4 linked regions of the Cricetulus griseus genome follow. The protein of the gene in region 4 interacts with the protein of the main gene of each other region in a pairwise test. Links are inferred from orthologs where the notes say so. Each region holds a gene or a part of one and is shown on either strand. Other genes may lie near its edges. The genes, in order: Fam53c, Epb41l3, Tnfaip3 and 14-3-3 protein gamma.

Evidence for each region.
Region 1: the proteins of 14-3-3 protein gamma (region 4) and Fam53c interact in binary tests that used the Homo sapiens proteins (3 or more experiments, as listed by UniProt). The link is inferred for Cricetulus griseus from reciprocal best matches to the Homo sapiens genes YWHAG and FAM53C.
Region 2: the proteins of 14-3-3 protein gamma (region 4) and Epb41l3 interact in binary tests that used the Homo sapiens proteins (3 or more experiments, as listed by UniProt). The link is inferred for Cricetulus griseus from reciprocal best matches to the Homo sapiens genes YWHAG and EPB41L3.
Region 3: the proteins of 14-3-3 protein gamma (region 4) and Tnfaip3 interact in binary tests that used the Homo sapiens proteins (3 or more experiments, as listed by UniProt). The link is inferred for Cricetulus griseus from reciprocal best matches to the Homo sapiens genes YWHAG and TNFAIP3.

What each region holds. Positions count from the first base shown.
Region 1 is NC_048595.1:202,721,810-202,728,367, forward strand, and holds the end of Fam53c (protein FAM53C), read right to left. Parts: intron 5,590-6,558; coding exon 4,805-5,589; intron 3,308-4,804; coding exon 3,050-3,307; 3' UTR 455-3,049; downstream 1-454.
Region 2 is NC_048595.1:458,009,868-458,017,565, reverse strand, and holds the end of Epb41l3 (band 4.1-like protein 3), read right to left. Parts: intron 4,418-7,698; coding exon 4,295-4,417; intron 3,644-4,294; coding exon 3,269-3,643; intron 2,347-3,268; coding exon 2,215-2,346; intron 1,483-2,214; coding exon 1,384-1,482; intron 799-1,383; coding exon 718-798; intron 446-717; coding exon 335-445; downstream 1-334. UniProt on the Homo sapiens protein: Tumor suppressor that inhibits cell proliferation and promotes apoptosis. Modulates the activity of protein arginine N-methyltransferases, including PRMT3 and PRMT5.
Region 3 is NC_048595.1:270,729,578-270,737,275, reverse strand, and holds part of Tnfaip3 (tumor necrosis factor alpha-induced protein 3), read right to left. Parts: coding exon 7,602-7,698; intron 6,844-7,601; coding exon 6,696-6,843; intron 6,548-6,695; coding exon 6,377-6,547; intron 4,953-6,376; coding exon 4,772-4,952; intron 4,357-4,771; coding exon 3,479-4,356; intron 2,727-3,478; coding exon 2,545-2,726; intron 2,012-2,544; coding exon 1,727-2,011; 3' UTR 1-1,726. UniProt on the Homo sapiens protein: Ubiquitin-editing enzyme that contains both ubiquitin ligase and deubiquitinase activities.
Region 4 is NC_048597.1:114,930,276-114,938,615, reverse strand, and holds the start of 14-3-3 protein gamma, read left to right. Parts: upstream 1-3,148; 5' UTR 3,149-3,347; coding exon 3,348-3,434; intron 3,435-8,340. UniProt on the Homo sapiens protein: Adapter protein implicated in the regulation of a large spectrum of both general and specialized signaling pathways. Binds to a large number of partners, usually by recognition of a phosphoserine or phosphothreonine motif.

The sequences.
Region 1 (6,558 bases), on a different chromosome or scaffold from region 4:
ACCCAGGTCTTTGGAATATGAGTTCTAATGACTAAAACTCCATCTCTCCAGATACAGCATGTGAAATTCTTATGAAGGGATTCCTTTCTGTCTTCTACCACCCAAAGCCTATGAGTCAGCCTAGTCAAGTGTCTAACTTATACCATCAAGCATCTCTCAGGGAACTGGAATGTATCAGTACTTGATTTTAACCAACTGGAAATGAAAGTGATGGCAGACAACACATGTAAGTACCAGGAAACTGGGAGCAAGCTGTAATAACAGACCCAGGCAACAAGGTCTGATCACAGAAGGGTCGAGGAACCAGATACAGCCCTTTGGGATGGCCTACCCATGCCTTAAAGAGATTGGGAAGTTAGCCTTCTCACTGTTTCTTCTTTCACTGTGTGTGTGTGTGTGTGTGTGTGTGTGTGTGTGTGTGCACTAAGTGAAAAAGACACTATAGTACACAAGGTTGCTTGGGAAAATGGATTATTCTAATAAAACTTTATTTTTTTCAAACACAGCCACAGAGGCAGAACCTCATGTTTTAACACACACAGACTTATGGAAGTTTTTAATATAAAACAAAGTTTACGAAAAATTTTTTTCCACTTTTTGTTTCTGTAATCCCATTAGCACAGGGACTTTGGCAGCAGGTGGGAATGAAGGGCAGCTAGGGCTGCCATTGGGCAGTCACTGGGCACAGGAAGAGAGCATCAGCCTGGGAGTGGCTTCACTCACACACGCAGTAATACTCACCTACCGGCCAGCCACACCACACACGCAGCAGATGCAGACGTCTACACAGCATCAGCCACAAGCCCCGGAGGTGTGCTCCACTCTGGGAAAGCCCAAATGTGAAAACCCAGATAACGAAACCAGCTAAAGTAGAGGGAGGTTGCTTGCTTTACAAAAGAAGCAATCATAGACTGCTTTTAAATGGCCAGCAGTCCAAATGCATTAAAAAATAGCGTTTGGTTTACACAGAACTGTTGGAACAGATCTATTGTGTAAGCAAAATGATTCACGTCTTGAAAAGGCTTGTTCCAGGGCCAGAGGCATTTAAACTGGGAAGCAAGATGATAGTTCTGCCTAGTTTAACATTCCAGACTTAAAGGAATGGAATTAAAATATGACAACTGTAGGCCTCGCTCCCTAAGGGTGGGAAAGCCAGGATGGAGGCAGAACCACTGCCTTTACTTAAACTTAGGGCCTTGCAAAGACCCCATTGGCACTGCCAGTGACCTATTGGAGGCTGACACTGCCATCTGCAGCAGAGAGCCCAGGGATGAGGATGCCCCAGGTGGAAAAGAAGCTGGCACCAGGGAAATTATGGACCAGAGAGGGAGAACCAGGGAAGGATGAATCAAGGATAGGTAACTCCTGGGCTCAGTTTCCCTGGATTCTCAAGAGAGCCTCTCTTAGGCCCTTAGAGACTGGTAGCCCAGTGGTAATATGTGGTAACTAGCCAGGAGATAGGGAGGAGCCTTGGAAAATAGAACCTCTGAGGGCCACAGGCTCAAGAAGACATGGCTACCTCCCCTGAAGACACCCTGGAAACTGAACAGAAAAAATGCCCTTATTATAATAAACTGGAAGGGCAGGTCCAATTTCTGTTATACAGGGTGTTCTAAACAAAGCCTCATAGACTGCAATAGTGGCAGCTTCTAAACGCACGGCACTGGTGCCAACCCACCCAAGGTACCTGCAATCTTTAAGTCCATTACTGTAGCATTGGGACCTGCTGCACTGGCTGAAGTTGTGGGCAAAACAAAAAAGGAAATTCAATCCAACAACAAACAACTCCCAGATGCTTCTCATAGCCTTTGCTTTACACATCCCCAGCCAATCCCTCAGTGAGCCCCAGCCTCTCTGTGGTCTCTCAGGGCCAATTAGAGGCAAATAAACATTTCCTGGCAAGAGTGGAAGACAAGCAAACTATTAAATGCTGAACGCCCTTCCTCTTTCTCACAGATCAGAAAGAGACTGGGCCTAGATCTTGCAAGAATAAGTTTCCCTACAGCCAGCTTCAAAAAGGCAGTGCTGGGGTGGGCTCAAGGACTTCTGGGGACTAAATGTCACTGCTCCTGCTACAGGTCTGCCTCAACATATTCTGGAGATCAACTTTGTCTCTGAATTGAAAGATGAAAGGGTCCCTTGGTGAAGAAGTGAGACCCCCCCTCAGCTCTGGCTCAGCCGCCCATGTTTGCACCGACTCAGAGAACGAGAGGCAGGCTGTGTACAGCTCAGAAAATCTGATCAACACAATGAATGTGACTTTCCTACAAGCCCTCAAAACTAGATTTATCTAGTGGGAGAGGATGGGACTGAGGAAAAGACCATTAGCTGAGGTCACCATACTTAGACCCCAAAACAGAGCCATCTGCAGAGCAAGTAATGCTATGACCTTAAAAGCCTGGCTCCAGAGCTATTAAGACCAAAAACAAACAAACAAAAACAAAAACAAACAAAAAAAAAGCCCCCTCTACTCTTGACACCTTGAACAAGCCCAACATCATATTCAAAAAAAAAAAAAAAAAAAAAATCAAGGTTCTGGGGGCATCCTGATGCTCTGCTGTTAAAGGAGCAACTGCCTTCCTTCCCTAAGGCTACACAAACACACCTTTCCTCAAGTATACGCCCATGCACACACACACTCACACAATTTCTCCAAGGAGGCTGACTGAACGCCCCCACCCTGGCCAAATTCTAAGACACAAGTGCCCTTTGAAGCAAAGGGGCTAGTGAAATTCCCCGAGCTGGGGTCAGCAGACCCCTTCCTTCCCTGCCCATTGCTCTCTCAGTGGCAGGGATACTCACACTCAGGGCCGCCATGGGGAGGGTCTGCTCTGGGGCTGTCCCTCCCGCCACCAGCTCTGTTTATCTTGTCCCGGCCAGTCTCTTGGCATGGTCGAGCTTGCTGGAGCGAGAAGACTTCGGCTGCCCTGAGTCGGAGCCCTCCACTCACCCCCTTTCCCAGGCTGGGCCCTCAGCCTTGGGGCCTTCACACGTGTTAGTAGCCATTAGACAGTCAGTCTGTGTGGCCCCAGGAAGCAGCCTCTCAGTTTTAGTTTTCCTCAATCAGATTCAGGTCCAGGTCCCCAAAGTCCTGCTGGCACAGTGTCCGCTTGTTTAGTGCCTGCCGTCCCCACCGCACAGCCCCCTCTTCTTCCTCTTCACTTTCACTTAGCACGTGGGATGAACCCTCAATAGGACTGCAGGAAGCAGAGAGAGGTGGGGGGCTACAGGCCATGAACCATGGTGGAGAGATGCTGCTACCTTCTCGAGCTGTTTCTTGGAGACAGAGACCTCCTGAGTATGGTTTCTGTCAAACAACAAAGACAAATTTTAATTTCCCAAAGTAACCTAAAATTTAAAAAAATTTCCATTGATTATTTTATGTATTTTGGGTGTTTTACACAGAACAATGCCTGCAGAGGCCATTAGAGGGCATCAAATCCCCAGAAACTAGAATTACACTATGTGGGTGCTAACAATCAATTTCAGGTCCTCTGAAATAGCAGCTATGCTCTTAACCACTGAGCCATCTCCTGGCCCTCCAAAAATAAATTTTAAAGTGTCCCTCTCAATTACACTTGAAGGCAGAAATTCTAGGCTTTAGAGTGAGGTTCCAAACCATAAAATTTGGAACATTTAGTATACATGTACATTCTCTGAGGAAAGAACCACAGTTCCCACTTTTAATCCTAGCACTCGGGAGGCAGAGGCAGGCAGATCTCTGAGAGTTCAAGTCCAGGCTGGTCTACATAGTGGGTTCTAGACTACAATAATGAGATCCTGTCTTAAAAAAACTAAACCAAACCTATAACAAAGCATAGAAGCCTGGGGGCTGAGGATTAACAGTGGCAGAGCACGTGCATAGCATGTCTAAGGACACAGGCTCACTCATAAGCACCACAAAAGAGAATGGAATCTATGAGGATGATTGAGCGTGATGGTATCTAAAGGCTCAGAGCTCAGAAGGCTGAAGCCAACCTAGGATAAATAGAAAGACCTTATCTTTTTGTTTTTGGAGACAGGGTTTCTCCGTATAGCTTTGGAGCCTGTCCTGGAACTTGCTCTGTAAATCAGGCTGGCCTTGAATACACAGAAATCCAACTCCCTCTGTCTCCCTAGTGCTGGGATTAAAAGTGTGCACTACCACTGCCCTTCGAAAGACCTTATCTTAAAAAACAAATAAAAACTATTTATAAGCTCCATGCAGTCAACAATACCATCTGCTTATTTGGCCACTCTCTGTTCTGCCAGTGTCTAAGCAGAATCAAGGACATGGATTTTGCCATGAATGCTTCCTTGAATGGCTGGGTGACTAAAGGAACAAATTCTCAGAGACCTGTGACCAAGTGATCGAGAAAGAAAAATATGGAAAAAGTAGACAAGCTGCTCTCAGGCTAGGACTTTAGTAAAGTGCTTGTTAAGCTTGTTTAAGCCTCCAAAGTATCACATGAGGCAGTGAAGTGCAGGGGGTAGAACTAACCCAGAACACAAGAGTAGGCATTGGTGACAGGACTTTTGTGGCTTAAGAGTCCTCTGAGAGAACTGCCTCTGGTAGAACAATTAGGAATCCCTGTCTAAAGGTTTAATGTCTCAGTCTAGTTTCTTTGAACACCAAGGACTAATCTGACAGGACAGGAGACTTTAAAGGTTAAAACTCAAATAGTTCCAGGCAAGACAGAATGGTCCTCCTAGAATAAACTCTAGAGAGAAGAGTTTCCAGATATACCTACAAGGAAGGTGGTGCTAGGAGATGTTTCAACAGTCTTTCCACTCTGTCCATGCTCTTCTGGTCTACCAGTCTCACCTGATTCATCTTGTCAAAGTCCAAGGAAGGCCGTAGGCGCCGGGAGTCCTCTTCATGACGCCGCTTGACCCCAGTTTTGCGGGCATCCAGGTCACAAGGCTGCGAGCGGCTTCGGGGAAGATTTCGGAGACCTCGAGGTCTCCAGGGCAGCTCGGGGGAAGATGCAGGGGAACTCCGGGCAGAGGGCAGGAAGCGGCTTGCCTGTGGGCCCAGGCTGGGTGACAGGGAGAAGCGGCGCTGGGGTGGGCAGGGTGACAGGGACTCAGCATCACTCTCCCAAGAACCATTCTGAGGGGAGGTGGCGCAGGTTTGAGAGGAATCTTGGGCCAGGGCCAGGCTGAAGAAAGGAGGGCTGTAGGGTCTGTGGGCTGGGGCACATTGAGAAGAGGCACTGGGAGCTTGGAGGAACCTGAGGCTGGAGACCCGCTTCGGGGGGCTCTGGTGAGGCACCTGCGGCCCACCCCCTCCAGCACTGCCCCGGTGCTTGATGGGAGTCCACAGCTTGGAGGGGGCGGGCCGCCACACTGGCTGCCAACGAGACAGGTCCACAGGCACCGAGAGTGAGCGGCAGTGCCTCTTGGATGGAGGAGCAGGGGGCACAGGAAGCTTCTCTGGGTCTGGGGGTTCAGGTCTTAGTACTTGGGGGAGGGGCTGCTCCTGCGGGGACGTTCCCCGACTGGGTGGTCTGAGGTGCAGGCTTAGGCCTGAGGGATGGTAGCTGAAGTTGAGGCTGTCCTGGAACTCAGCACAGGAACAGTGGGGCAGGCCCCTCCAGGAAGCACCTTCTGAAAGGCATTCATAATAAAAAGTATTAACAATAGCGAACATATGATAAGAGCTTATGCATCACGTAATGCAGTCAATACTTGGTGTGGCTTCACAAAAATCTTCATGGAGGTACCATGATTATCCCTTTTTTAGATGACTGCAGCCTAATTGGCTCCAAAGCATGTAGCTATCAAATGAACAAAATAGGATTCAACCTTTACTATGCTACCTTCGTCCTAAGAACATCCTCGAATAAAGAACATTTACACAGTCTGCCACTTCTCTAAGGTGAAACCGTGAAGAGAAACCTGTATGTCTCTGTGTATGACCTACTCACCCCCAATATTCTAGACCAATCATATCTACAACCCAGCTCTCCCTGCTCCCAGCCTGCCTTCTGAAAATCAGGCCTATGTTCGCCTTCCCTGGTCTTTTCCTCTTACATGTCACCAGGACCAAGGAGGGCAGTGCTGTCTAGTGGAAGTAATCAAGCAACTGCTTTTACTGCTAGAGAAGGCAAGGAAGATGTTGGTGGTCGATGGTAGAACATGTGCTAGAAAAACTCTAAGATTCTGTATTATTTTTGTTCTTTTATGTCTGTGCGTATACTCTGGTTCCCTTCCCCCTTAGACCTTCAGTATAAATTTTTGGAAAAAAAAAAATTTTTTTTTTTTTTTTTGAGTCTAGCTCTCACTATATAGCCCTGGTTAGCCTGAAACTTGCTATGAAGACCAGGCTGACTACAAACACACAGTGATCACCTACCTCTGCCTCCTAAGTGCTGGGATTAAAGGTATATACCACCATGCCAGGCTCTGGGCCTTTTAATGTCAAGTAGATTGGAGGAACAAGTGGGTATAGTAGCTCAGACCTATAATCCCAGAATTCTGGAGAAGCAGGAAATGAGTTCATGTAATTATTTGATAATCACATGTTGAATTTGAGGCAAACCTGGGCTACATAAATAACATAAAAGCAAACTTCCT
Region 2 (7,698 bases), on a different chromosome or scaffold from region 4:
AAACCAAATTTGATTTCTCAAATTTGGGTAATGAGAAGAAGGTAAAGCCCAGATGAAAAAGAGCAGCAGAGAGACCAGGCAAGCAGGGACCCTGCCTTCCCTTCTCCTCTAACTGGCGTGGGTGTGCAAACACAGCTCTGAGGAGGGAATCTCCACAGCAGAGGCACCCCAGCACCCACAAGCAGTTTTCCATCTTCTCGATAGCCAGCCCCACAAATGCCAGTGAGAGGACAAAGGAGAGGGGAGAATGAGGCTAAGGGTGGGGAGGGAAGTGCCCCATGCCACATGCTAGCTGAGGCAAGCCTAGAGAATCAGCGTCACCTCTTACCTCTGGTCAATCCTCTCCATCTTCTGGTGTGATTTCTGTCTCTTTATGGACCACTACTTTGGTCACTGACATGTCGGGGTGCTGCTCTTTGGCCTCTTTAATTGCCTGAGCCAGCGCCTATCCCCAGGAAATCACAGAAGGGCAAAAACAAAAAGGAGGTGGGACATGCGTGAGCAGCAGCAAGGTGAGTCTTAGGAGCTAATCTATCCCCACAGTTAACAATGAGGCACACTGATTACACAAGGGCTCAAAGCCATATACTGGAGAGTTAATTCAGAAACTACTGTAGAGTACATCCTGATCTAGAAGATTAGCACTGGGAACCAAAGGGCCAGTGTGCTCACATTGACTTCTCTGTCAGTGGGTTTACTGTCTCACACGCTACCTACCTGGTCGTGGTCGATGTCAGCATCTCCTGTGATCACTATTCGTTTCTCGATTCTCGTCTCTGAAATACCTCCTTTCACAGTCTGAAGGACATAGGAAAGCACCGTGAGTTACTCACCAGGGTAATGGCAGGGGGTGGTGGCACTGTGAAGCCCCACAGTTCTCCCACTTAGTTCTCCCAGAACTAAGTCTACCATAGGCATTCAACATGCTTATTTCCAAAAGCAGAGTTCTTTGGGTTTAGCAGACCCAGTTCCTATGATATCTACTCTACGCTAGGCCCACCCCAGGGTGAGCATCAGGGACACCAGTATTGAGAAATAAAAGGAGCTTACGATAAGGATATCCTTTATTAGAAAAACACCAGCCAAACGAAAGCCAGAGCGTGTCAGGGGCAGCAAGGCAGGGAGGCCAGAGAGAAGGGGCTCCCATGTGCCTTGCAAACCCTTAAAACCCTATCATTTGTCATCCTGACCTCATCTTGACCACGCCCTAACAGGCGTGGCCAGGCACACCTGTAGCCAGCTTTTAGCAGGTGTGGCTTACACTGTCCCCTACAATTCCCCTTTTAGTCTAAAAGGATGAGGTCAGGATGTCAGAGGTTTTGATGATTGGTGCCCTTCTCCATCAGTCAAAGAGTAATGCTTGTGGATGTTTGTTCCACTTACTTTGGTGATGTGTGTGGTGGTGGTGGTACTCGTGGTTTCAGATGTGATTGTCTGTGCACTCATCAGCACACCTGGCTCCAGGTCTGCCCCAGGGTCAACCTAAGCAGGGACAGGAACACACATAGCACACGGGTGTGGTTGCATTTACTCTCCATAGGACTGTTCCATTCTTTAATACCATACTGTGACTGAGTGGACACAGCCCTCCCCATAAGAAGACCCAATCAACCACAGATGGAAAACACTCAGGAACTATTTGCAGCCAGACTGAACGTGTTCAGATGTTTGCTAAACATCGGAGTGTAGCAACCACCAGCATTGCATTTACATCGTGTAAGGTAGTGTAAGTCATCCAGAGATTATTTAAACTATAACATGTCCACATGTTATAAGGTAATGTTATACTATTCCAACCAAGGGATTGGAGCATCCACAAATGTGGGTATCCATGGGAAACCTGGAATCCTCAGAAGGAACAATTGCTTCCCACACTCGTAGCCCAATTCAGGTAGAACATGGGAGCTCTTGGAGTAAACTTTAGGCAAAGCTGTAGGCAAGGAGGGTTAACAAACTGAGATGTTATAAATGTGACTAGTGGGTGGCTTAAGCCTCTTTCTTATCCATAACTGCAACCTAGGTCTCTGAGACTTGCCTATGTGAAGGCTGTCTAAAGCCTCGGTTAATCACCGTGGCTCCACAATCGGTAATAAAACCATGGCAGTGCACTGTTCTTGACAGAGATGGTTTGGATGCCGATCCTTACAGCCTCTTGGACTGGTACTGTGTAGTTGAATGCAAGAAGCCCTAGATCTGCCAGGTCTCCGGTCTTACCTGTGATGACTCATATGTGATGGTTTTTGTTTCTGTGTGAACTACTGGCACTTCCTTGGTAGAGATCTCTAGCTTCACTCCTCCTGGAGAAACACTGCCCACACTCACGGTCTCCATCTTCACAGTGGAGGACTGTATCAGTGGGAAGCAAGGGGGAGGGGTTATCAAGGCGTATACGCAGTTTGGACTTCTCTCTCCTCCTGGTGTCTTTGCTATTTTTGCTCATAACAAAAGTTTCTGTATTAAACGAGGAGGAGGTAAGACAGGGATCATGACACACAACAAATCTACACCAGTCTCACTAGATTATACCGAGCAGTTGACATAGGATTCCCGAGGCAACAGAAACATTTTAAAGGGGATTAAAAACGATCTGTCCCTTCTTCTCCATCTCATATGCAAACACTGACATAGATAAACCTATAAACAAGCTTTTAAGTTAGTAACCAAGAAAGATGAGGCAAGAACCAAATCATCGTTCTCCACCCACCAACCTGTGGAATATCTCGGTAAAGGGTGATAAAGAATAAAGTTCTGGGAGTTGGAGGAATGCTTTCTGGTCCTTCTAGGAAAGTAAGTGGATCAGAAATAAATGTCAAGTTTTCTTCAAAAAATATTTTACTATTATCGTTGTTGTTGTTGTTGTGTGTGTAAGTCAGAGAACAACTTTCAGAACTTGGCTTCCACTGTGGGTTCCAGGGGTTGAACTCAGGTCATCAGGCTTGTGTGACACTGTGAGCCACCGGGCTATCTTTGTGGCCCTCTAAAGTAGCTATTCATTGGCTCCCTGTGTTTTCTGTCAGTTATAATTTCAATGACAGAAACCACTTCCTAGAACTATACATCATCAGTACTTGATTTTTATATTTCTATGTGACCCCCAAACCTGGAAACAAGCCTGGAGACCCCTTCACTGCTGTGCAAAGTAAAAGATCAGAGAGGAAAGCCAGAGGCCCGTGCACGATGAGGCGTGAAGTTAAATGAAGCACCACTTCTGTTTTTCTCTAACTCTCAGGGTATATCACCTCTGAGAGTAACAGTAACTACCATTTACCTCAAAATGAGACTTTTGTTCCAAAGCCTCAGAAGGGTGCGTGGCTGCCACCTGCTCCTCCTCATGGGAGACTGTGGCTGGCTGTTCCTGCTCGGGGACAGATTTGTCAGCCTCCTCTCCTCTCTCTTCCTTAGCTGCTTCTGTCACAGAACAGCCCTCCTTCCCTTTCGCACTGTGAAGATCTGAGGGTGTGGTCTCTGCTGTATCCACGGCATCCCCGGCTGTGTGACAAGCATCTCCACTGCCTTGCACACTCTCGATGCGCCTCTCCTCCGCCAACACGGTTTCCTGCAGCACCTTCTCAGTGCTGAGGGGCTGGGAGTGTGGGGTCAATTCCACCTCAGTTTCGATGGACTCTGTCTTTGTTTCCAGTTTCTGTATGGGAAGAGTACAGTGTCTGAGTGACTTCCATAAACCCAAACAACAAACTCCCCAAGGCGGCTACTCACTATGAGGTTCAAAGCTGGCATCAAGAGCTCATATGCATGGACGCTGACGGCAGTAAAAATAAGCTTTCATTCCTCCCACTAGCTTTGCTGTCTCTCTCTCTCTCTCTCTCTCTCTCTCTCTCTCTCTCTCTCTCTCTCTCTCTCTCTCACACACACACACACACACACACAGGGACCTGCACAGCTTTCTCAGAGCAATGGCGAAAGAAACAGGATGCAATAAAGCACACGAGCAGAGGAGAAAGAAAGGGCGTTCTGCTGCACGTTCACCGTGGCTTTGAATGTGTGCCCTTAGACTGGACGGATGAGACGAAATGTTTCTAAAGATCAAGAGCCATTAAAATCTCCTAACGCCATTGCTTTTGAGCAAAGGAAGCCCGTTCTCAAAGTGGAATGGAAGGTCCACAACAGACAGGCACATGCAGTGGCAGGAAGAACAGTCACCGGGGACTGCTCTGAGATGCAGGAAGGCAATGCCACTTGGATGCAAGACACAGGCACACACACCCGCCACATGCTCACAAAGCAAAGCAAACGGGCACAGTCACAAACACCAAGGACGGGAGGGAATGGCCACCTGCACCCAGCTCTGGGTAGTAGATGAAACCCCTCCTATGAACTCTGTGGGTTTCCGGGCCGACTCTAACAGACTGAGGATCTCCGAGCCATCCATGAGTTTCTCCCCAGAAGACTGTTTAGTCTGAGTGAACAAAGAAACGAGAGTCAAGCACGAGAGACGCCCCAGACATGCACATGTTCGCAGCTTGCTAGACAAAACCGGAGGCAGAGGAAAAAAGGAAGGAGGAATGAAGGAGTCCATGTACAGAGCTTGGAAACAGAAAGGAATGGGGGCATAACACAGCAAACTAGGTGACCATGAGCCCTCGTGTGCTAAAGCAGAGAGTTATCACGTTCAGGGTGGCGTCGGTTTAAGCAGGTCACTTCCCACCGACCCTCCACCCCTCCCCTCCAATTGCAAGCCACAGCGCGCCTTATCACGAATCTTGGGAACGGGCAGCTAGAAATAAAAGGGGGAAAAGTGTTTTTAATGCTGATTTGGGGCTGCAATATTGATTTAATCATGGGAAGAAGAAAAAAAAAAAAGCTGGGTTCGCTGCTGCTCTCAACATAAAGTCAAGCGGCCAGAGAAACGGAAAAGGTTCAGGGTGGAAGGGCGCTGTTGTAAAAAAAAATGTCATGCTGGAATCTTAAGCTGTGACCGAATGAGAGCCACTGGTTACCACCACTTGGGATGCAGAAGACTCGGTGACATAGTGGGCAGTAGCCACGGTAAAGGCCGGCTCCTGGGAGTACCGCCACTCAGACAGGCTCTTCCTGCGTGGGCCAAAGGGCCCCACCGTCAGCACCTCGCATTCGGCCCCCTGCTGCGGTTTGCCGAACCGGGGGTGGGCAGGTGCACCCTCTCCCAGCTTTGGTGCCTTCTGGGTGTCATCTTCCTCGGGGCTTTGCCGGCGGGATTCGGCTTCCTTGATGGGCGCCAGGGATTCTGACAATCTCCGCTTCGGGGTGTGGACCTCGGGTCCTCTTCTGGATTTCTCATCAGCCAGGGATTCCAGGACCTCGTATTCCACCAGCAGGGGACCGACCTTCTCTGCAGCGCCTCTCTCTGTCTTCTGCCAGCCTTCCAGCGAGGAGGGCTGTGCGACCTTCTCCCCCTCTTTAGCTTTCCCAGTCATGGTGACAATTCTGCCAGAGACGGTGTCGTAGGATTTCCCCAGAGTGTACATCTTCTGCGCGTTCTCCTCCTTCAAGTGCATTTCTCTGGCCAAGTCATCGAAGCCATGCATGTCAATCATGCTAGGTTTTAGCAAGTCAGCCGGGATCTCACCGGTTTTACTGCTCACAGTTACCACCTTGTAAGTGACAATCTTTTTCGAATCACCATCAACTACCTCAGTGGGTATTTTGTCTACAATAACCCAATCCTCTGTGCCCTATATTCAAAATATAAAAGCTAAATTAGAAAAGCTGGTGGTATATAAAAGCTGGTTGTCTATAAAATAAGAACCCTTTTTAAAAAATGCAGGGCATAAACTATACCGGGGCATGGGGTAAGACTGAAGCAAAGGGTGGCTGCTATCATCTAACAGTTATGGCTGGAGTCCCCTCTCACCAGAAATCTAATTTCAACCCGGAATACATCCTGTGGGGGTGGCATTGAAATCTCATGTTTCTTTAACTAGGAACATATCTTGGCAATGAATTTTATAGGAGACCTATTTGACCTTGTGCTTGGCAGCTTGGTTGCATTTTATCTTAAGACTGGATGTTATAAGTGAACTACTCAGGCTCACACATGTAGCACAAAAGACTGTTATCCTTGTTTGCTGTCACACAATGCTTCCCATACTGGTATTTTCACAAGGAAGTTGAAGGTGTTCTCCAAGTTTCTGTAAAGACCATTTTTTTCCACATGTGCAAATTTGTTTCCTTATCTAGGGAAGCCAATTCACGACTACACTTAGTATCAAAGCATATTGAGTGCGCCCATATTCAAGGTATGGCAACGGAATTTCCCCTGATGAGACACTACTGATCTGGATCCCTTTAAAATAAGAGTTGGAGGTCCGTGGAGTGTTCTGTTCTTAACTAGACCTGCAGTTCGATGTTTCAGTAATTTCTCTCCCACTTTCTTTAGCATTAGTTCCAACAAGGCAGAAGAACGGTAAGAAACCTTGGCCTACAGGAGAGATAACTGGATGTCCTAGGCTAATGGCTAACCAGCTTACCAGGTTACAGAAAGGAAGGGAGACCACACCAGAGTAGATGACATTTGGTTTTATGTTTTCTACTTATGGTATCCTGAAAACTTGAATCTAGATATATGTTTGTGTTAAGCAAAATAACTGCAGGTTGATCTACATGCTGGCATTGGACTAAAAGATATGAATTGAAAAAAATAACCTCTAGGGTCGACGGGACAGTTTTCTGGAAAATTAATTGATGAGAAGTAGCCACAGAATCAGTAGAGACGCCTTCCCGCATTTTCGTAACCACACTTGGCTAGCAAGAAAACCAAAGTAAGTTCAGAGCATTCAAGAAACCAGTCAAAGTCATTAAAAAATAGTAGAGGTCTTAGATGGAAAGGGACAGTGGGGACTTTCGGGAGATTACCACAAGCATACCCAAAGCTTCAATGGTAATTTTTATCACATAGAAGTCATAAGCATTACATAATTAACCACTAGCATACTGAGAAAAATCTCATTTCCCAAATCTAAGCAAATTAGCACACCCACCTTAGCTTTAAACCAGAAAAACTAACGAAGTGAAAACCAGACACTCCAGGGTGAAGAATAGCTCCGTGTTTGCTTTTTTACCTGAGACTCAAGGAATGGTGAACTTCCTTGCTGTAAAAATACAACTCTCTCAGAAATCTCTCTCTCTTCTTTGGTCTGTTTAAACAAAGGGGGTTGGAGAAGAGGGAGTAGACATTTTTCCAGAAAGATGAGTTAGGAAGCCAGCACTGTATTATATATGTATTCACAGTCATTCATGTTTGCCTTGAAGAATTACTCATTTGAAAGAAGATCTAGAGCCATTTCAAGTTTTAACAATCATCTCTAAATGGGCAATGTTATCTTCTGAAATAGATGCTCACACAACTCAAGACATTTCCACAAATGCACACAGAGCATACAAGAGTGAGAAGAAGAGTTTCCTGACATTTCACTGGGCCTCTCTCATGTCCCTAATAGCAAGTCCTAAAAGAAAATGTGAATAAAATACTTTTAAAAGTAACAGAAGAAACGCTCACTTCTATTTCTAACAGGTATCCAACCATACTCTCACGCATATGCTATCTGGTAGTGAAGGAAGTGTATTCATGCTGGTTAGCTTTAACTGTCAACGTGATACAACTGGGGTCATTTGAGAAGGAAAAACTAGTGGGTGAATTCCCCAGACCAGACTGGCCTGTCTGCAGCTCTCTCTCTCTCTCTCTGTGTGTGTGTGTGTGTG
Region 3 (7,698 bases), on a different chromosome or scaffold from region 4:
TGAAGACAACTAAATGTGCAAATTTCACATACTTTCTATAAGTATAAATAATTTCATTGTTTCACATTAAGAATGAAAATATCAATAGACACAAAATATTAGGTTATCAACTTTGAAAGAACTAAATGAAAAAAAGACAAAGATGTAAGTCAGGAAAGACAGTGTCAGATAAGAAGAGAAAAGGCTATATAGAGTTATACATCACAAACATCTTCAGGTGCTGGGCTAGAACCCAGGATGTCAGCCCTTCCCTCTGGAGAAATGCATCTCCCTCCAAAGGCAAGCGCAAAACACACAGAAAAGCTACAAGCCAATGGCAGAAACCTCCTCATCCTCATCGCTACTGGCTTTGCGGTTCCAAGGCTTGGGTTCCTATCCAGTACCCCAAGGGCACAGCATTTACACAGTAAGCAAAGGTCATGAAAGGCCACATATTTCTGTGTCCCTCCCCACTCCATCCCTATCTACTCTTCAAAGAGGTAGGATACTTGGAAGCATCTACAGGAGACACACCACAATTTCTTCCTGTGCAGCCGGGGAGTCATTAGAAGTATCAGCTTCTACAGGCTTTATTCATAAAGCAATCCCTTCTTTCCTAGGGAGGCAATGAGTAGAGAGGGCAGACAACTGCCCCACCACACCCCGAGGTCAGGAATTTGCCAGGTTCCCAGAACATGGCGGAAAGCAAGTATGTTATTCCAAGAGAATACTGCAGAAGAAAATCTTCATTTAAATAACGTTGAAGTCCATAATAAATAAAGTACGATGAGGGCACCCTTTAAGGAGGCAGCTTGTTGAATTCACGTAACAAGCTGCATACACAGAGGCAACCTGACAACAACCAGAAAATAGGTTATTATTATTCAGTCTTCCTATTACCTCTGGGGCACCATTTGAATGTTTAAAAAACAACTCCCTTATACATAATATAAGGGTATATTACATATGTACACACGCTGATACACACCTCTGTGCAAACTAGTCTCTCTGGAACTGAAGACAATGATGACCAGTGGTGGCATGTCTTCCTGCTAAGATGTTCTGCTGTCTAAAAGGTGTATGCATACAGTCAAGAGCAGCTTTTTTTGTCTCCATGTGAACATTTCTGTTTCAGCAGCCTCAGGGTTACAGTCTGTGTGCGGCTCTGCTTTCAGACAGAACCTTGGGAACCAAGCAGGCAGATAGGGAAGCCCACCGACTACAGATGCGCTCTACCCATGTCATTTCCCCTGAGCTTCCTCGAGCTTCTGGCTGGCAGAGGGCCTTGGTACTCTGAGGATTCAGCTTTGGCTCTCTGAGAAAAGCTTCCAGGGTGGGGGTGGGGGCAGTTAGGTGGTCTCAGGCTCCAACCCACCTGTCCACGTGCTTTTCTCCTGTTTCCTGGCAGGTGGGCACAGGAACTGCTTGCCAGTCCTAGCATGCATTCCATGTCTCAAGATCTCACCGGATTCCTGGTAGATGAGCAGCAACAGCTTCAGGCTGAATGTGACATCATGCATTGCCCATCACGAGGTCTACTCTCAGCCTACCTGGACATAGTCTTGGTTACCAAACCCGAATGTCACAGCCATGATGAAGAGCTTATCTTGTTTCCTTTGCTCAAAGACACTCGAAGCCACTGTCCCAGGGCCCACCCTTCCTATGGCACTCAGGGGTCTGGAGTACAGCACCACTCCGCCTGGCAGTTTGAGGCCCCTTCTTGCTGGGCCAGTCCTCTTGCTTGCACTTAGCCATACATCTGCTTGAACTGGAAGCACTCGTTGCAGTAACCGTTACACTTGGCATTGCCGAAGTGATCGCAGGCGGGGGCCCGGCAGCGCTGTTTAGGGAGCTCTTCAGAAGTGGGGTCACCCCGGTGAGCCACAGAGCCCACTCGCTGGCTCAGGTGCTGACACTCCATGCATAGTTCCTCACTACGACAGGCCAAGATGTTCTTGCAGGAGGCCCGGGCACACTTGGGCCTCGAGGCTCCCTGTGTCGTACGGGGCATATCTCTGAGCTGGCTAGATCTCTGTGTGGGAAGAACAAGAGAAGGATGTTACATTTCTCAGGAAACCAGACGGGGGTTTCAAATAACAGATTTGGATTCTACAGAGGCTTGAGCTGACTGAGTGAGAGAAGCAGAAAAATGTGCAACTGAGGGTCCATAGCTCCCCACCAATCCTGTGGACCCAGTTTGAGGAAGGTCCTCCCCGCTTCTGCCATATGCCAGTAAATGGAAGCATCCTGAATATTCAGAATAAAGGACTGAGAAGTCTGCTTCTCATTAAAATCTAAGAGGTCTCTGATCAGTCACCTCCTGGCTTTCAGGATGCTCTCAGAGGCTTTGCTCAGGGCTGACTGTATTAGCTGTTCAGAATCAATTCTAAGTATGCTTAGGCTGTTCAGTGTATCCTAACATGAGCCAAAGAAATGTGGCTGGTTTTTCCAGGCTCTCTTCCAGCAGACTTTTTAAAGGGACCTTTGTCATCATGAGGAGACAGCCTGTCTGTCACAGATGGAAGACCTGACACCAGAGAGGGCAAGATTCACCAAATGTCTCACCAGTTGCTCTTCAGTCCTTTTTGCTTCATGAAACCTCTGGCTCTGAGCTTCAATGAAGCACTTCTGACAATATCCTTCAAACATGGTGCTCCCGAGGGTGCCGCACTCCCTGCCCAGGCATGGGATGTTATTCTGGAACCTGGGGGCTGTGGAACCGGCTTTCCCAGAGGCAGTAACAAACTCTACAAAAGAGTGGATGCTAGTCAGTATTACATCTGGGTTACTGTGCAAATACAGACACTGACATACAGGAAATGGGTACCCAACATAGATGAAAACAGCCTTGAACATGTACTTTGAGACTGAACTTTCAGAAACTCAGCAAAATAACATCTTTGGCTTAATCTCTCACTTTGAACATGGGTCACTGATCAGTCAGAGAACCAAACAGCAGGCATTCACAGCCCACTTGCCCTTTGATTTAGAAAGTCCTAAGCCACAGATGTTTTCCTGATGGCAGTAAATACTTCCTTTCTTTTGCTAGCCTGCTTCAGAGTATCTCACCAAAGATGCTGAAGTCTGAACTATACGTGGGTAGCAGACTCTCAATGGCCTTATTAAACCCAGCCCCACAGTCTAGTGTGGCAGTATATGCCTAAAATTCTAGCACTGAGGGGAAAGAAGCAAATAGATTGCCAGGACTCTGAGGCCCGCCTGGGATACACAGTGGGTCCATCATGGACTAGTATGAATTATATCTATAGGATATTTTTGATGTAGGGTACATGGTAACTAGAACTGATGTAATGAGATAGTGCCTACTGCTTCCAGGTACAACAGCAGAGCAACAGTCACTGTCCCCAAGCACAAACCAATAAGAAAGGCATAGTGAGATGTAATTGCTCTGACTGCTGGGATAGGCTACTTTCTTGACAATCAAAGACCCCTTTCTAGGCACTGACTACTGCAATAGGCAATCTATGATTTCACTCACGTTTATTTTCTCTGTATTCGATGAAACACAGCGTGCAGAAGCCCTTGTTTTTGGGAGTCCCAAAATATGTGCAGCCAGCTTTTCTGCACTTGCTTGTCCCTGTCCTGTCTCCTGGAGTTCGTGCTGCCTGGGAAAGGCAGCCAGAAGGGACATCATTTCCAGTCCGATGGCAAGAGTGTGGGGCGAGACTTTGGATGAGTTGTGAGGGGTCAGACTTGGAGCGTTGGTGACAGGAGGGAGGGACACTGGAAGTGAGGCTGGAGGAGGGCTCTGCTTTGGTCCTTTTCAAACAGGTACTGCAGATGCCATTAAACGTCCGAGTGACATCCTGATGGCAAGCTTGGCACTTACCGGGATCTGCAGTGTGGCTGGCATTAAGCTGCTGGGCATTGTGGCAGCGCTCACAGAATCCATTATGCTGCACGTTCAATGTGAAAGGGCAACCGGGGCTCCTGCACTTCATTGCCGTGGTCTCGCTGAACAGAAAAAGGCTGGGTGCCGTGGGTGGGGCCGAATGAGGTCCTCCAGCTGTTTCCTCCGGGCTCCAGGCGGAGGTGCCAAGTCCCATGCCTGGGAATCCTTCAGGACCCAGCTTCGAGTTCAGCTTTGGGAGTTTGCTCTGGTTCTTTTGGCGCCTCTCTGAGCATTCATGACATAACGGTTGAGTGTTCACGGACATAAAGAAAGGACAGTTGGGTGTCTCACATTTTACATCCATGAGTGACAGCTGGGGCGTGGAAGGCTCCAAAGGGTTCTGTGAATGCGCCCCTCTCCTGCCTTGCTCATTGTTTTCCTGCCATTTCTTGTATTCATGCTGAACAAGTTCAAAGTAATCATCTACCAGATTTATTTCTTTGGGTAAATTAGCTTCATCCAACCTAAAGAGCAAGCAGGAAAATAAGTGGTGACTCCAAATAACACAAGACTCTAACATCATAAGCTCCTAGAACACATTTCCAGAATGTAGCAGTCTATGGCACAATACCAGCACTGAAATGCAGGCTTATGACACATTGTGGTCCAATACACTTCTATCATGTTCTCAAGTGCAGAAGACAAATCAAAGGGCTGGAGAGATGGCTCAGCTGTTAAGAGCACTGGCTACTCTTCCAGAGGACCCAGGTTCAATTCCCAGCACCCACATGGCAGCTCTGTCACAACTGTCTGTAACTCCAGTTCCAGGGAATCCAGCACCCTCACACAGACATGCATGCAGGCAAAACACCAATGCATAGAGAAAAAAATTAATAAATAAATCTTTTAAAAAAAGACAAATTAAAGGAGACTGCTTACTTTGCAGCATTGATGAGGTGAGTTGTGCCATGGTCCCAGCCTTGCACCGGGATCTCCATCACTATCAAGTACTCCTTGAGAAGTTTTTCCTTCATCTCATTTTCAGGGTCTGTCAAAAAGTGAACTTTTAAGTCTTCAAATCTTCCCCGATCTCTATTAACAAGGGGAACAGCTCGGATTTCTGAAAGAAAAAAAATATCGTGTGAGTAAAATATTATCCTACAAATGATGCTGTGTGTAAGGTCACATACACTGATTAGAATTTAGAGATACAGAAAGATTCATCCAGTCACACTTAAAAGCCAAACAGGGAAACAAAATGTGGTAAAGACTAACATAAAATGCTTTGTATCCAGGGAGCTCACAGAATGCCAAGGAGCCTGGTACTGGCAGACTTCTTTGACAGGGATTTAATTTGTGATTTTTGGATATTTATTGTGGCTGGAAGGCTGAGAGGTAATTTTAGTTCTTGTTTGGAGCACAAAGATTCTGGACTTACTTTTGTGCTTTTGTACACATCTCTATGAACATACTCTGTATTTGAACTCCATTATCCTCTCACCCCTCCTCCTCCTGCTGCTTCTACTTCTTTCAAAATCCTCTGCCTTCTACTTCCATGTATTCTGCTCTGTACCCTTAAAAAAAATCTAGATTCCATATATGAGAGAAAAAAGTGTTGCTTTTCTGAGTCTATGCTTTTCTTTTAAATATGATTATCTCCTGCTCCATCTTTTTTCTCTGCAAATGACAAAAATTCCCTTTTTCCCCCTTATGGCTAAATAATTCCATTGTGTACACATATCACAGTCTCTTCATCCATCCATCTGGTGATCATCACCTAAGCTGATTTTTGTAATCACAGGAAGGAGACAAGAGATCTGAACTGGTTAAATTCAATGCCTCCCAGGCAGACTGACCTGAGTTAGAATCTTGACTTTGTTGATGTCAAGCTAAGCATGTCATTTAACCTTTCTGAGTTTCCATGGCCTCATCGATAAAGTAAGACAACTCATGCCAACATCTCATAGGGATGCTATGAAAATGAAATGAAGGAATGTTGCCTGGAGCACTTAGCAAAGTGCTTACTATACATTATGGTATTATAATAATAGCTAACCTGACAAACATCTACTTGCTGTATGCCAGACTCGATACCAAGGCTTTGTGTACCTTAATTTGTCATGTAGTAATAACAGTGGTGGAGTATGCATATATGACTGTCCAACCTATGTTTACCATTCTGAAAGTACTTCCTAAGTCACACTCAAAAGGATGGCAGAATGGTATGTTTACTGCTATTGCATTACTGTGCCATTGTGTATGACTTTAATCTGAAAATCTCAAATCTACAAATCTGACTGGATTTGGGAGCATTTAAGTTTTGATTAGGGATGATGAGATGGCAAAGTCTATGTAAACATTCAGGAATATGAAAGACTCTGCAATCTGAAATAATATTGGATCCAAGCACTTTACATAAGAGATTGTTAATCCATCCTGATTAAGAACAGACTTAAATATAACAATTTCAGTTGGGAACAAGAGAGCAAGGCCGGGAACTCCAGGATCCAAAAGGGTTATGAGTATGAACTGATGTTTTCTTACCAGGTCCACTGTCCTTCAGGGTCACCAGGGGTACAAAGTGCTGGCTGTCATAGCCAAGGACAATGGGGTATCTGTAGCATTCCGGGGCGGGCCAGTGGAGAGGCAAGTAAATCCCACCCACTTTCAAAGGAGCAAAATTGGAACCCGATTCCAAGCTTCTTAGCATTTTGTCTGTTAACAGGAAGAAAAAAAAAAAAACAAAATAAGACCCTGGGTGACTTTCATGAAGCTGTTGAGGAGCCTGGGTTTCTCCTCAGAGCTAAAGCAGCATGGCTGAAAAGCATTTGGAAAAACAAGAAGAAACGAGGAGGCACCTCACCTGAAATGACAATGATGGGTCTTCTGAGGATGTTGCTGAGGACAAATATGTGGATTTCTTCCAGGGAATTATACTGAAGTCCACTTCGGGCTGCGGGAGTGTCTGCCGATGCCATTTTGACCAAATTGTCCCATTCATCATTCCAGTTCTAAGGGAAGGGGAGAAGAGAGGAAGGAAAGGACGGGTTAGCAAGTCACTCAAATGTCACTCTGCATTTGTCCCTGTTAAGAAATCCCATTCATTCTTCTCCTTCATTGAAACAATTGCTTGGATGTTCATCCTCTCCCCCATTTTGGTTTTTCTCCTTTACATTTTTCCACTGCAGAGCAAAGTCAAAGCTGAAGGGAGATACAGACAGCCTTTGCTTTCAGAAAAATTCCCTACCTGGGGCAGGGGGATAGCTCAGTGTTTTCCTAACATGCATGGAGTCTTGGGTTTATATCTAGCACCATGTAAAATCACATGGTGATGCATGTCTGCAATCCTAGCACTGTGGAGGTGGAGGCAGGAAGGTCATCTTCAGCTACATAGCAAGGTCATTTTCTGCTACGTAGCAGGTTCAAGGCCATACATGATACTCTAGCTCAGGGAAGAAAAAAAAAAAGCTTGAGGAGTAAGAGGTACATCCTTCCCTGGATTGATTGGCTGGGAAGTGCCTAAGGAAAGACCATGGTTGGAAGACCTGCCATGACAAAGAAATGCACGCCTAGGGATCTGATGCTTACAAGCCTGAGAAGTGAATTGCTAACTGGGGTTAATCCCACAGAAGGTTCTTGGTGTTTTCCACTTGGTGCACTGCTTAGCTCAACTCATATGACTTGTAAGTCATATGTTCCTCAGGGAACAGGGACTGGCCCAAAGTACCCTTTGTCCACCGTGGAGCTGTCAAACAAGAGCCAAACATACCCGAGTGTCGTAGCAAAGTCCTGTTTCCACAAATTCCTGTGATTTCAGAGACTCCAGCTGCCAGCGGAATTTAAAGTTTCGTGTGTCTGTCTCCTTA
Region 4 (8,340 bases):
CCTCGAACTCACAGATCCACCTGCCTCTGCCTCCAGAGTTCTGGGATTAAAGGCGTGCGCCACCAACACCTGGCTTCACCTACAGGTTTTGGTAGTAGTGTTTTTTACATAAGTTCTCACATTGTAGCCTTGGCTGGTCTGGAACCCACTCTATAGACCAAGCTTGCCTTGAACTCACAGAGATCCTGCCTCCTACATATGCTGGCATTAAAAACATGTGCCACCACTCACAGCTGTTCTTGTTTGGTTTGTTTTTGAGACAAGGTTTCTCTGTGTAGCCCTGGCTATCTTGAAACTCACTCTGTAGACCAGACTGGCCTCTGTCTTTTGAGTGCTTGGATTAAAGATGTGTACCACTATCACCTAGACATGTTTTCTTTTTTAATGTTTAAATTTTTATTTGATAATGTATGACTGAATGTGTGTGTGCATGTGTGCATGTCTGTGTGTGTGTGTGTGTGTGTGTGTGTGTGTGTGTGTATGGCATGTGGAGGTCAGAAGAGACTCTTTTGGAGTTGGTTCTCTCCTTCCACCTTTTTTTTTAACTTTTGATTTTTCAAAACAGGGTTTCTTGGTGTAACTTTTGGAGCCTATCCTGGAACTTGCTCTGTAGACCAGGATGACCTGGAACTCACAGAGATCCGCCTGCCTCTTCCTCCCAAGTGCTGGGGTTAAAGCTTGTGCCACCATGGCCACCGGGCCTCTCCTTCTGCCTTTAAGTAGGTTGTGGGATGGACTCAGCTAGCTGGGCTTTCTCTGTCAGCTTTATCCACGGAGCTGTCTCATCCATTTGCTGCTCTCCCTTCATCCCCTCCCTCCACATTGTTTTCTTTGCAGCCTATGTTGGTGGTAAAAGTCTATAATCCAGTGTTTGGGAGGCAGACTGATGAGAAAATCAGTTCAGGGAACAATAAAGAGAACGGAAGGTCAGACCATCTCAAAAGAGAAACAAATTAAAAAGTTTAGTGTTTTTTTTTTTTTTTTTTTTAACCTTTGAGATAAGGTCCAAGTCAGCTTATAAATAATTTATGGTCAATCCTCCTGCCTCAGTCTCCCAAGTGCTAGGATTAGAGGGTTTTGATGCCATACCTACATCATTCATTGGTTTAAAAAATTTATCATTTTATGTGTATGAGCATTTTGCTTGTGTGTGTGTATGTGTATTGCAAGTGTGCCTGGTGCCTGTGGAGGTCAGAAGAGGGCATCAGATTTCTCTGAAACTGGAGTTATAGGTGGTTGTAACCTGTCATGTGGGTGCTGGGAATTGAACCCAAGTCCTCTGTAATAACAGCCAGTGCTCTTAACTTCTGAGTCATCTCTTCAGGCCCTTCATTCATTGCCTGATGTTATGTGTTCTGCATTCAGTAGTGATGAAGACAAAATATAGATGTGACCATTTTCTACCACTGTTAAAATATCTTGTGAAGGGCCTAGTGGCTCACACCTGTGTCCTCTGAAGGCTGAGGCACATAGATGGCCAGGTGTTTAAGGTTGGCCTGAGTTACATAGTGAGTTTCAGGCTAGCCTGGCTACAGGGTGAGGCTGTTTCAAGAGAAAAAAAAAATGAAAAAAATAAAATAAAAACCAAACACCTGACACACCTGAGGTGCCTGTAATCCTAGTATGTGGGAGGTGGAGGCAGGAGGGTTAGGGCATTCAAGGTTTGCCTTGGCTACATAGGTAGAAGTTTGCCTGAACTACATGAGGCCAGGTCTCGAAACAGAAAACAATGGGTATTTTATAAAAGAGAAAGTCGGAAAAACAAAGGAACCACAACCAACTATACAAACAAAATCGATCAATAAAATAATGTAGAGTCTTTGTCTATTATTTAAAAATGAATTAATTCCTGGGCAGAGGCGGGGCTAGGTGAAGGTCAATTCCCAAGCTAGGGAATATGATTCAGTTGGGAACATTCATGTAAGACCCTGGTTTTGTAGTCTCAGCACTCTAAGACTGAAAACGAAAACGACAAACCCAGACCTCATCTCCCAACTCCTGAATTTCTTAGCCTGTCATTCAATGTCCCGTAGAAATTAATGACCCCAGTAGAGTTTCATGAAACACCAGACAACCTATCAGTAAATAAATTCCAGCTCTAGGGGAGGCAGAGGCAGGAAGATCTGTGTGTTAGAGGCCAGCCTGGTCTACACAGAGAAACCCTTTCTGGTAAAACAAAACAAACAAACAGACAAACAAAAAACGCAGTCAAAACTATAGGGGGTGGTGAGCTCAGGGAAGTGTTGGGTCAGTGAACTGAATCTTGGAGGGAGAAGGGATTTCCCCAGGGTCAGCCTGTAGACAGCTACATCACTTAGGGAAATTAACAAATGTACAAGGCGGATATGTGTCATTCCATGATTTCACCCAGTGAAGCCCCATGTCAAAGTGCATCACTGGAAACTGCAACATTCGGGTGTGCGTGTGTGTGTGTGTGTGTGTGTGTGAGAGACAGTCCTCTAAGTGTGTGTGTGTGTTTGTGTGTGAGACAGTCCTCTAAGAGTTGCATCATTTACGCAACCATCTCTCGGGCAGCCTCACCCTTTCGATGGTGGTGGTTGGGCAGTTTGGATTTACGGTGTCTGCACTGTGTTCTTCCCCATCCTCCGACCATGATCTGTAACCTCTGTTTCACAGAGTCCATAAATGAGGCCCTGGCTTTCTCTCCTCTCAACTGCCCAGAAGCCATGGGGCGGGGCCGTGAATCAGCACTGTTGCAGGCTGCATCCCCGCCAGGGGTCCCCAGCGGCCGCGGGCTTAGACCCTACCCCCACCCGGTCCGCCTCTGCCGGCGCTACGCCCGCTGGGAGATGTAGTCTCCGCCGCCCCTTTGTCCTTGGTCTCCTCTGCCGGTCAGTTCGCTGCGGGTCGAACTACTACTCCCAGGAGTCCACGCGGCAGAGGCAAACGGTGGGGGCGCTCAGGGGGACGAGGAGCGATCTGAAGAAACTGAGGCGAAGGATTTGGGGTACATTAGAGCGCAGTGGACAATCGGGGAGACGCTGAGAAAACCTCGAAGAGCCACAAGGAGTGTTCCAATAGGGGCGAAGCCCGCTAAAGGAGGGGCCGGGCGGGGCCGGGCAGCTCGCGCGCATGCGCGAGTGGGCGGTGCCTTTGCGTCACCCGTGTGGGCGGGACCGCAGGGGGTTGTCCGTCCGCGGCACGCATTAGAGCTGCAGCCTTCTTGCGCCGGGTGCCGCGGTCGCAGCTCGTGCAGCCTTTTGCTCGCCCTCGCCTAAGCAGCTCGCTTCGTGCGTCGGCCTCCGACGCCCCTCTCTTTCCCTAAAGCCCTTCAAGGCGGTCTCCGGTGTCCTCCTCTCCAGCCGACCCGCTTCAGCCCCGCGAAGATGGTGGACCGCGAGCAACTGGTGCAGAAAGCCCGGCTGGCCGAGCAGGCGGAGCGCTACGACGATATGGCCGCGGCCATGAAGAACGTGAGTGTCTCCTCCCCTCCCCCCTGCCTCGCCCAGCCGCTCCCGAGCACCGGGGTTCTGGGCGTGGAAGGCATGCTCGGGGGCATGTCGCCTGGTCGTGACCGTGGGGTCACCCCTCCGTCCCCCTCCTTGGAGGGATTAATTAGGGACGGGTCCTAAACGCGCGACTCGGGCACCCGAGTGGTGACGCGGCCTCTTTCCCAGCCTCTCCGGGCTCGGGGCTGGGGCGGGGTCTGGCGTGGCTGGGCTCTGCTGGGGAGGGGTCTCTAAGTGACCCTGCTCGTCCAGGCTTCCGAGTCGGGGGCCGTGCGCATCCTTTGTGCCCCACTTCCCCTCCTCCCCGCTTAGGCGTGGGGGCGGGGGGACCGCATGGATGCGGTTCCTCTTTCTCTCCCTGGTGTCTGGGCGGCGCCTTTCCCATTCACTCAGCTGGTCTCCCAGTCTTCCGCCTCCCCACTCCAGCAGCTCCCCCTCCCCATCATCTTCCCCACTGACACATCCTTTAAAGAACATTGAATATTTCGGGAAGAAAAAAAAAACGTAGATCCCCTCCCCCAAAAACCCGGGCTTAATGGTGTAAAATCGAAACCACCTTGCTCACGTTTTTCTTAACAAAAGGCTTCCCTTTACCCATTTCCCAAAGCGAGTCCTCTGACTTCTACGGAGGGAGGGATAAGTGTGTCGTTGGCATTTCCATTCATGGCCCTCTGTGTGCCATATTCAGTTTTCATTGAAAAGGGTTAAACATGCCTTTGAATGCTAACTGACTGATTAAATTTGTGACATGCAGTTTCTCTTTTGAATGTAGGCACGAGTCTCCCGAAATTCCTTTAAGTGTAAAAAAAAAAATCCGTCTAATCTGACATTGCAAACAAAGCGATGCAGGGAGGCAGTATCAAGTCATTCCAGAAGATTCTGCATTTGTCATATTGCAGAGAGCCTAGACTGGGTGGAGGCTGGGAGGAGGGTTTTTTTTTTTTTAAATGTATCTGAGGCTTTTTCCCTCTGACCTAATGCATCCTCATACTGATGAGAAGAGAATACTGATCTCCAGTTGTCGCATTTTTGTCTGAGATGCAAAATTCTACCTATTTGCACCATTTTGTCAGTAGCACTTATTTATTAACGAGTTGGGGACCAGTTTGCCAGCAGAGGGGCAGTACTGAGTATTGAAAAATTAAGTAGAAAAATTAATAATTGGGTTTCCCACTCCCTTAATATTTAACTTCCTACCTTATGTAACAAAGGTTGTTAAATGCATCTCTGGTGTTAAGTGGCTGGAGTGTGCCTTGCAAGTTAAACCTTTCAAGTGAACGAATAGCATTAATTTTTAGTTAATTTTTTTCTAGTGTTTTCAAAAGTCCAGGTGTTTATCCTTTCCTAATCAAATGAGCTACAATTTTTTTCTATTTTATGAAAAAATAATTTGGCTTTAAGACCAGAGCTACTGTTGTGTTAGTGTGTTGCTACAGTTTCCTTTTTATAACGGTTTAACAGTTAAAGGATACAAGTTGGACTTCTGTGGGTCACTAATGTTGAAAATGTCTTCAGTTCGTGATATTTAGACTCTAATTCTCCCCTATTTCTAGTTCCACAGGAGAGCGAGTGACCTCGCACCTATATCCATAGCAACCCAGTGATGTCACACACAATGACACAGAGGCTGCAATGCACCTAAGGGCTGGTAGGGAGTTTTCAGATGGCATTTGTCCAAGGTAATGCAGAAATGAGCTGATAAGCCAGGTGGCATTGAACGTTTCATCTTCTACCACATTGGCCTCGATCACCAAATAAAAAAATTATTTCACTTTAGACATACAAGGGCAGTGACTTCTAGAAAAGTCCATTCACCTTAAATGTCCCTTAACAACTTTATAAGATACTTTCATATTTCTCAATATCCATATCCATATCACTTACTTTAAAAACCCAGTAACGAGGAAGTGAAGGAATTTCTAAATAAGAATGTCTCTGGTCATAGCGAGGTGGGTGTGCATTTAGTGTTATTTCAATGAGACAGCTTTTCATTAAAGCATTATTAAATGATGGCTGGCCATCTGCAGTAGCTGTTAGGAAATGAAAACCCAGTACAAAGTGTTTTCCATCCGAATGAGGGAGGTTGTACTCTGCTGACCATGCTATGAGAGGAAGAATGATTTGTAAGATATAGGCCTTTTAAAAAGTTTTTTTCAAGCCTATTTTCTGTGGCCTTTTAAGAAAATCAGCTTACCTCTCACCCCCAGTTTCCACACAATACTTACTTGAACCAGTGAGGAACATGGTTCCCCAGTGTGGTAACTCAAATCACCTGTGTCTCAAGCATGCGTCTCTTGGTTCAGTCCCTGGCACCGGAAAAATTGATGATGAAGGGAATTAAGGTGTAGTTTAAGCATCTAGGGTAATTCTGGAAATGCCACGTTTGGAATTCATGCACAGCTATATCTGTAGGTGACTAGGACATCAATAGTTAGGGGCAGTATTCTGAATTAGGAGAGGAGATAAATGTGCAATTTTGCATTTGAGCAGAATACCTAGATGGTTCCGACTTGTTAGGTTATCCCACTCTCCCCTCCCCCCACATATTCAGATTCTGTCATCTCACTTTCCTTTGGCTGATCACAGTCCAAAATAAAATGTAATAAAGTCTTCAGTCTATTGTTATAATTGTTCTTTCTACTTATCAGTTATTGCTCTTACTGTGCCTGTCAGAGATTAAATTTATCACAGGTATGTATGAGATACAGTGTTTGGGTTTAGCTGCAATTTCGGTATCTGCTGGGGATCTTGGAACACATCCCTTTGGGCAAAGGTGGAGACCACTGGAATATCCTGCCTTTGGCTTTCAATAGCCTCTTGAGAAGTTAATATACTGAGTAGGCCGCTGGTACTTGCATCCTGGGGGGAAGGAGGTCCTGGACCTTGGGGTTACTGGATTAGAACTCTGGACTTGGGATTACAGTGGTTGAAGGATGCCTTAGTTATAGAAACAGATCTTCCTGGTGGGATCAATGGGTTTTAAAGTCTTACTCGGCTAGTTCTTCAGGAGCCAGATCAATAGCTATTATCCCTAATGGAGTAATGATGCCTTTGCAGATTCCTTCGAGGTGGAGCTCTGCCAGCTGTTCTCAGTCACGACTTTTAGGCTGCTCTCCTTGGAGTGGAGAGAGCATATAACTTCATTTCTGGTGTTATCCTTCACAATGCTGAAATGAAGATTAAATTATTTTTCCTTCCTCTTTAAAAATTACCAGCCCGAGGAACAACTTGGAGGAATCGGTTCTTTTTCTACTGTGTAGGTCTGGGGATTGAACTCCAGTCATGAGACTTGGCAGCAAGCAACTATATCTGCTGAGCCATTTAACCAGCCCCTAATTTTTTCCTCCTAACTAATTGAAAAAAGAGAACCTTGTGCTTCCTGTGTTCTTTAAAGGATGTGTTTGAATATCTGTTACTATATTTTTAAAGATAGACCTCAGCTGTCATTTTTGAAGACTAATTATGTATTACTGAAAAGAAGGGCCTGGCGGTGGTGGCACAGGCCTTTAATCCCAGCACTCTTGGAGAGAGAGGCAAGCCGATTTCTGTGAGTTTGTGCCCAGCCTGGTCTACAGATAGTTCTAGGACAGCCAGGGATATGCAGAAACTGTCTCAAAAAAGCACACACGAAAAAAGGGAACAAAATGTTAGTTTTCATGAGTGGTGTTTTTTATTCTTTGCTGTTTTTTTTGGGTCAGGTTCTCAGTATGTAGACCAGGCTGGCATTGAACTCAGGTCCACCTGTTCCAGCCCCTTTGTTTCCCAAGTGCTGGAATTCTAGTACTAAGGCACCACACCCAACTGATAGGTATTTTCTTTCAAGTCACAGAGCATACTAACTATACACAATCCAATAATAAAAGTTAACAGTACAATTTAGTGGTATTTTAATATTTAATACTTAATAAGTTAAGCCCTTATTTATTTCAAAAATGGAAGGGTATGACTTGGAAAGTGGAGGCAAGAGAGTAACAGGACTACAGGAGAATCCTGTCAAAGCGGAGAAAGATGAGGCCACCTGTTTAAAAAGATCCTGGCCTGGACTGCAGCTTGCTGGGTTTGATTACCCACTCTGGAATGTGCCCACCACCACCCCCAGCCATTGATAATTAATTGGTTGTCCCTTGGTCTTTATTTTGAATATCTTCCTCTTTCATAAGGTAGAGGAAAGGACCTAGATTCTAGCTAGGTTTGTATTTCCATTTAAAGAGTCACTTAAGCTATATGCCATTCACCTAAACAAACAAGAGTAATTCATCTGAAATCTGAGCCAACTGTTAAGCCTTGGGAGGCTATGAAAACATGGCTGGTGTTCTTAAAAGCCCAAGGCTGGTTATTGTGAATGATTTCCCTGCTGTGGAGTAGTAGGTCCCTCGTGAACACTCCCCAGGCAGTAACTGAGCCTGGTGAGCTGTTGAAGCCAGCCCTCTATGTTGGGAGATGTTGAATATATTGGTTCACACCATGTTCTGTGGTTGTCAGCTTGGGAGTGAGTGTGCTGCCTTCTCTCCATGGACTGGCAGTTCCTCCAACTATAGCATAGCTCTTCATCTGGCTGGGCATCTGATTCTGTATTTCTGCCAGATTAATGAGAAACATGGAAGAAAAAACAGAACTTACTATGTGAGTGCTTTGCTCTATGTAAGTGCATCAGGTGCATGCAGTACCTATGAAGGTCAGAAGAGGGCGCCAAATCCCCAGAACTGGAGATAACGGACAGCTGTGAGCCACCATGTGGGAGCTGAGAACTGACTCAGGTTCTATGCAAGAGCAGCAATTGCTGTTAACCACTAAGCATCTTTCTGCCTCTTTTTAGTTTTTAGTTCAGAGGCAGGTTCTCGTGTAGTCCAGACTGGCTTAAAATTTGTAT